Sus scrofa: one gene and its partner. The protein of the gene in region 1 purifies or fractionates together with the protein of each later gene. This does not show direct contact. Links are inferred from orthologs where the notes say so. Each region holds a gene or a part of one and is shown on either strand. Other genes may lie near its edges.

Region 1 (3,819 bases):
GGTGAGCTTCCTCTGGAATGAAGGAGAGGAACAGGTGAAGGGGAGAAGAGAGATGGAGGGAGAGAGGTTAGCTTTTATCCAGACTGGACAATGCCACTTCTGCAGAGAGAACACGTTAAAATGGCTTTGGAAGGCAGAATAGGTCACTAGTTAACTGTGTGTGTTTATGTCACTACCTTCAGAACTGGCTGAAAGCAACAGTAGCATGAACAAGAAGCTACATTTCTGCGTCTAAAGAAAAAACTAGGTCAAGGAGTCATTTACAGTCGACTTCCTAGGTGATGGTGGCCAGCTGAGGACGGAGCCATGGCACAGTCAGCTTCAGGATGAAGCAAGCTCCTGCTTAGGAATCCCCTCTGATTAAGGATGTTGGTTCCCACAGCCATGCGGTGAGACTCATCAAAGCCAGTGTTATTAACAATGTCATTCCCACCCGTAAGAGAAAAAAGAAACATTTCTTTGTTTGTGCTATAGGATGGCTGATTATAGGAACTGAGATTAAATGGATGAGTTTGTCTGGTGAAACCCTAAAGGAGGTTAAAGGAACAAAACTCAACTGGAAAGTTACTATGTTCAGCTTCTCACCGGAAAGCCCTACTGTTGCAAAGTTAAAGGCGTATAGTCCTCAGGCATAAGGCGTCATCTCCATCTGAGCCATCCAACCCCCTCTGCATCCAGGCATGCTCTTCCAACACGGCAATGATGCAGAAGACGGAGGAGTTCCAATGATGGCTCAGAATCCAGAGCAATTGCATATGGCAACACTCTAAAGGTTTTCAGCTATTTTAAAATCCTAGGGGAACAGCTTGTGGGCACTGCCTGAATGGATTGTTGATGACATGTCTAAACTAGAAGGCAGCCTTGAAAAAAGTAGCCCTGAGATGAAGACTAGGGAAGCAGAAGGAATAGGAGAGCCAGGTTCTAACATAAACTCCTACTCCTGGCTACCCACCAGGAGACCAACGAAAGAGACATGGTGCAAATTTTCATCTTAAAAATCCAAAGATTTAGCTTCCTTCTAGATAACAGTATTTTAGGAAAGTATCTCTCGTTTTTGATTTCTTCTCTTCAGCACACAGTATTTAGCTGCCTTCATCCCAAGACTGGAAAGCCGGGTGGCAAAGAGCCCCCAAGTGCTGCCTTTGGCCGTGGTTCCACCTTGCGTAAGTCCTGTAACTGCTGAGAGCCTCAATCTTCCCTTCTGATTAATGGGACCAACACCAACTAAGCAGGCTCAGAACCAAAGAAATAGCACCACCCCATTCAAGGATAAAGAAACTGGCAGAGGTAAACCTTAAACCTAGACTCCGCTTAGTTTACAGTGGACTCTGTGAATATTATTGTGTTATAAAACAGGCTCTGTTTTCCTTCAAGCGAGTATAGTATTTCAGTTGATCTAATGATATAACAAAGAAAATAAAAACGGTGCCTATGCAGGGGGCGATGTTGAATTGCTTTTCAGGCTAAATGCTATTTATTTTCTGTTTTGTTTCTTTAAAGAAAAAAAAAAAAAAAAAAAAAAAAAAACAGGTGAGCCTGAATAATCTATAAGGAATGTGGGTGCTTTGACTGAAATCCTCTTAGAACAAGCATATCCTATGCTACTCACTACACGGAAAACCATTTCCTAACTTCCCCCAACTGGAATTAAGTCAGATAAAATTACAGGCACGACATCATATATCAACCAGGAAGTTCCTCTTCTGCTTGGTGACAAACTTTTCTTCCCCAAGGCTCAAGGTTTGATTCAGACACCAGCAGTAAAGAATTTCAAGCATCTTTGCAGCCACAAGCTCTGCCTGTTGGGAACTAATAAGAGCCTTATAAACACTGCCTCAATGCATTATAAAAAGGCTCCTGAGTTTGAAGTTGAGAGTGCCAGGCTCTGGTCCCTTCTGGGACACTAAGATTCCTACAACCTTGGAGAAGTCACCTTACTTTTCTGAGCTCAGTGACCACTCGGAAGTTCCTCCCAGGAGTTCCCACTGTGGCGCAATGGGATCAGCGGCACCTGGGGAACACTGGGTCTCAGGTTCGCTCCCTGGCCCGGCACAGTGGGTTGCCGCAACTGCGGCTCAGACCTGATCCCTGGCCCAGGAACTCCATATGCTGTGGGGTGCCACAGATGGAAAAAAAAAGAAAGAAAGAAAAGAAATTCCTCCCAGACTGACCATCCCACGGTCCTGTATTAAAGCCACAATTCACAGGGATACGCAGGCAAGGTGACCACAGCTGCCAAATCTCTGGCAAATCCAGCCTCCCTGCTGGCCGTTAAATCCAAGGTTTTTGTTGTTGTTTAGACAAAGAGACACCAAACACGCCTGCCTTCTTCCCGAGAGAGAGGCCAGTGACAACCTGCTGCAATATTTAGGAAAAGCACTGGGTCATCCCTTTGTGGGAAGAAAGGTTGGAGTTGCTTGAAAAAACAAACAATTGTTAACTACCCGCTGGGTGCCAGGTGCTCACCGAGTGATACTTTGAGCCTTGTGATAGTTTGCAGCTAGAGAAGCAGCAAACGTTAAAGTTTAAGGTTAGGGCCAGCCTGGCCATTCTTCCTTCTGGAGATTAAAGCCTGCTGATGCTAGAATTTTCTCTCCTTGGGAACTACACGATTTGGTCTTTCCCGCTTGGGCGAGTCTGGGGTAGACTACGGAAGTCTCATACCAGTTCATTAACAGGTGACCTCGTGCCCTTTTGCCACCCAACGATGATCTGAGACAAAGCAAACAGCAGGGAAAACCACCCCCAGCGGCCCTCCCCTCCTCTCTCTGCTCTGCCCTGAGGAGAGACAGGGTCCTGGTCACCACGGCCCAGGTGTCTGAAACAGGTCCTTCCTCAGAAACGCTGCCCGCGCCGCCACCTCCTGTAAAGAGGCGGTATCAGTGGCAAATGAGTTTACCTCACAGTAAGGGAGACGTGGGTGACTTTGGAAGGGGCATCGTACTCCAACAGCCCGCCCCGTATCCCCCCCCACCCCCCGCGATGAAATTTGCGGATGCTCGAGTCCCTCATGTGAACATGGCAAAGGACCCTCAGAACTCAGCATCGGCGAGTCGCACCTGCGATGGGCAGAAGCCGCGGATACCGAGGAGGGCCGACGCTTGTAGGGCCTGCACGGTGCCCGGAGTTCCCGTGCACCTGCCCTGACCGCCAGTTTCTTACTCTCTGCCAGTTCTTGGGCGCTGCGATTAAAGGACGGTCAGTGCTGTGACCCCTGCGGCTTTCTCACCGAGAGCCCCGGGAGGAGGAGGGTTTCTCGTTGAGCGGCCCTCCGCCCAGTGGGAACCGGTCTTTTTTGACCATCCCGTGGGCTCCAGGAGCCTCCAGGAGCTACGACTTAGGAGGCTACTTTGGCCGCACCAGGTGGCAGAGCCCCCAAACGCCTCGGGCAGCGTTGATGGCCACCCAGGCGTAAACCTCGGACCTGAGAGCAAAGCCAAGGCTGGAGGGAGAAAGGGAGGCGGAAGATGCGACCTCCCCGTGGGAGATAGTTACCAATGAACTCAAAGGCCTCTTCGAAGTACTGCCGCAGGTTCTGCTTGTTGCTGTCGGTGGCCGGCAGCCGCTTGTAGTTGAAGAGGCCTTTCTCGTAGTGGTAGAGGGGCAGGTGGGTGGTGACGTTGATGACGTAGCCGATGTTCAGCCGCTGCATCATGTCCAGGTCCTGAGCATCCTGCTCGTTGCCGAGGAACAGGAAGGGCAGGATGGGCGTCAGCTCGGCGTTCTCGATGTCGGGGGTGCTGGGCGCGGGCTGAGGTAGCGGGTTCGAGGCCGCGGACGCGCCGCCCCCCACCTCCCGGCACTCCTGGAGCTGGAGGG
Region 2 (3,819 bases), on another chromosome or scaffold:
ACCTCATGGTTCCTAGTCGGATTCATTAACCACTGCGCCACCACAGGAACTCCCTTTCTTTATTTTAAAATATCTTTTGTCTGATGTGAGTATTGCTACTCCTGCTTTTCTGTAATTTTCATTTGCAAGTAATATTTTCTTCCATCCCCTTGTTTTAAGTCTGTATTGTCCTAAGATTTGAAGTGGGTCCCTTGTAAACAGCATATATATGGGTCTTATTTTTATATCCATTCAGCCAGTCTGTGTCTTTTAGTTGGAGCACTTAATCCATTTACATTCAGTGTGGTAGAATTTTCCAAAATGGTTCCAAAAATCCCAGGGTTCGATTCTAACTTTGCTCCTTCTGGCGTTCTCACATGCTTCAGTAGTCACTGACCTCACAAATCCTTACCAATGTGAGATTGTTTACTTAGCATGCTTTGGTTCATTTTTCTAATTTAAACCATTTCTATCCTAGGATTTGAAACCTAGCAACATTGTAGTAAAATCAGATTGCACCCTTAAGATTCTTGACTTTGGCCTGGCCCGCACAGCATGCACCAACTTTATGATGACCCCCTATGTGGTGACACGGTATTATCGGGCACCAGAAGTCATCCTGGGCATGGGCTATAAAGAGAACGGTGAGTACAGACAGAACTGAAAGAGGCTGAGATGTTTAGAAAGAGTGCTATTAGCCATCACTAGTTTTTTTCCCTTTCCTGTGAACTATATGGAATATAATATGGAGACTGTATTATACATAGCTTATGGTAGTTCACAGATGAGAAATAATTAATTTTATATTTCCTTCAGTTAAAATTATTCACTTTAAAAATTCACTTTTGAGATTAATATTTTTGAACATTTATCAAAGCATAACACACTTACAAGGAGGTATGCAAATCCCTAGTGGGCAGCTCGGTCGGAGCACACCCACATAACCAGCGGCACCCCAGACTCTCCGGACCCTCTTTGGGTCTCAGCCCCTGAGGGAAGCCATTATCCTGATTTCCAGCACCATAGATTGGTTTTGCTTATTTTTAAACTTGATATAAATAGAATACAAAATGTGCTTTTTATGTATAGAATTGGTAGTTTTTTTTTTGAGGAGAGGTGTAGTTGTTATTATCCTACTAATATTTTAGTTGATTTACTACTGTAATGCCATGAAATTTTCTAAATATATGGTACCAATATATTTCTAAAATTGGTATTTTTTTAACAACAAAACTTATTCTAACAATATCAGAGCTCTTAGAAACTTAGCTTTTGACAAGTTTGTCTAAATTTGACTTTTGACTAAATCACATTTCCTTGTTAAGAAAAAAGGAGTCTGAAAGCTTGCCCAAGTCATATGAAATGAGTTGCACCTCAAGTTTATTCAGATGTTTTATAACCTGTGTTCCCATTCTGAGAGACACAGCTCTGTGGGCTTCCATTCCCCCGTGGACATGAGAGAAAATCAGATCCCCTGTTAGCTTCTCCCACCCGACCCCCACCAGCAGGGGCACTAAACAGCCCTCTGCCCTGGCATCTGAGGCCTGGGGTTGAGCTGGACCCCACGAAAGAGGGTGAACGGCCAGAAGTTAGGTCACCTCTGACCTGGCCTCATCTGGAGCCCAGATAAGCCTGTCCCCATGAGGCCCTGCTGACTTGACAGTTTAGAAAAGGTTCATTCTGGAGGTTTAGTATTCATATTTTACAAAAGTCTTGCTGACAAGCTGGGTTTGTCTTTGTTTGGGAGGAGGGTTTGAGAAAAGGCTTGTGGGGGTCTCTGGCTGGTTTTAATCACCTGGTGTTTGGTAGTGGACATCTGGTCTGTCGGGTGCATCATGGCAGAAATGGTCCTCCATAAAGTCCTGTTCCCAGGAAGAGACTGTATCCTTCACAGGGAGAGACCTGGCACTGGCCACAAGGGCTGGGGGGTGGGGGTGGGCCTTTGCCTAGAAACATCTTCGTGGGGATAAGCACTTCTTATTTCTGGGGCTTTGTTTTTGAAACTGTAAAGTATTGGGCTCTTTGGCACTAAAAGCCCAGATTGCTGCAAACTGAAGGCCAAAATAGAGATCAGCAATCTTTCATACTGTGTAAAAAGTTCACCCTTAATGAGCAATTTATTTTCCATATTTGTGTGTTTAGTATACTGTTAGAATTCCTTTTCCTCACCTTTGTTTTGTTCATGGCACTTCATAATTTTGTCATTTCATTTTATTTTCAGTTGATATCTGGTCAGTGGGTTGCATCATGGGAGAGCTGGTGAAAGGTTGTGTGATATTCCAAGGCACTGATCGTATCCTTCCCGGGGACCTTCCCGGCCATGCTTTCCATAAACACCAAAGGCAGCAGGAGCTCAGAAGGAAAATGTTAATTCTAGACTGTGTTCTAAGGAGGTCTTGATTGTGTTTGTTAAATTAGTGTCACAAACCAAATGGTTCCATTTTCTGTTTTCTTTTTTACTTGACTACCTGTAATGGTTTTATTGAGGCATAGAATTAAGTTAAACCAATTTATATTAGTTCTTAGTTTTATTACAAATAACTTGTAAGAAACTTACTCTTTGACAAATGTATTTTGCTATTTAAATGAAAATAATATTTATTTAGTTCATCCTATTAGTTTAACTACGAAGTTGTCTAAATTTCATAGGCCAGTATTCTTAATGTTATTTGTTTAATAAACTATTTCGTTAGTTACCAGGATGCATTCAAATATTTCTCCCCAAACTAAGAACCAGATAAAGCACACTGCATAAGACCTACATGAAAAGATTAAAGTGAAAAGTTTGTGAGGAACAATATGTACTCAATTTTTTTATTTGTTACCCTTCTGACATTCTGTAGAAAATTTTAGAAGATCCACTTAGAAGGTTATTTTGTGACACATTGGGGAAGTCTAAATAAATATAAGATTAACTTATATTGTGGTCAACAAATCATATCAACGATGTATAGCATAAAGGAGAATAGATATATGATAGTTACAATAGCTTTCTTTTCTCATATTCCTCATATTCTTCCATCTTCAATATTTTTTACTCTAACATGGTACTTCACATATACCCTTTTCCATTTGTGTTCTAACCACTTAAAATTTTCATTAGTCTTTTGATTTTGTTTTTTGTTATGAAAGCCTAAAGTGGTCTCTGTCTGCTGGCAGATTGATGGTTATCTTTAAAAGAAATCAAGTTGTGTAGTCGATGTTTTTAATGTATTTTATTAAAGTAATTTTAGTTTTTTATAATTTTATGAGGGTGGTTTTCTTGTAATGTAAATTCTTCGAACACCAACTTGGAATGAAAAGATTTTTTTCCTATCGTTTTATTTACCTTCCTTGACATTTTTCACATCACAGATTTTATGTGAAGGTAAATATAGCATTTATTTTGTTCCAATAAATTTTCTAGCAATTTTCCATACTCTGACCTTAGATTCAGCTACTTCAAACTGCAAATAAGGGGATCTTTAATTTGCAAATAAATTCACTTAAAAAGGGAAAAGTTGATGTATTCTAAAGATACTACTTAGAAGTATCTACTTAGTATTCATTTGTCTTAATTTTTATTCATTTTGCATCTTTCCTTTTTTATTAAACGTTTTCTTTAGGAGGTACAGAAATGAAAAGTATGGGAACTTTTTGGTGCATTATTAAGTAATTTTAAATTCTTAATTTACATATTAATATATTGCAATGTCAGTAATTAATAATTTTATATATAAGGTCACCTAATGTCATTCTCAAAACACATATGGAGATTACATCATTTCCAAAGATAATTTTGCTAACTTTTTCAAACATTAGATTAAAAATTACTAGCATAGAAAAAGATTCTGGGAGTTC

The links.
Region 2: the proteins of DUSP10 (region 1) and MAPK9 purify together in Homo sapiens (affinity purification with mass spectrometry; 3 studies listed by BioGRID and IntAct, with this or other methods). This does not show direct contact. The link is inferred for Sus scrofa from reciprocal best matches to the Homo sapiens genes DUSP10 and MAPK9.

What each region holds. Positions count from the first base shown.
Region 1 is NC_010452.4:10,867,680-10,871,498, forward strand, and holds part of DUSP10 (dual specificity protein phosphatase 10), read right to left. Parts: coding exon 3,496-3,819; intron 13-3,495; coding exon 1-12. UniProt on the Homo sapiens protein: Protein phosphatase involved in the inactivation of MAP kinases. Has a specificity for the MAPK11/MAPK12/MAPK13/MAPK14 subfamily. It preferably dephosphorylates p38.
Region 2 is NC_010444.4:78,379,691-78,383,509, forward strand, and holds part of MAPK9 (mitogen-activated protein kinase 9), read left to right. Parts: intron 1-457; coding exon 458-623; intron 624-1,788; coding exon 1,789-1,860; intron 1,861-2,200; coding exon of another isoform or gene 2,201-2,272; intron 2,273-3,819. UniProt on the Homo sapiens protein: Serine/threonine-protein kinase involved in various processes such as cell proliferation, differentiation, migration, transformation and programmed cell death.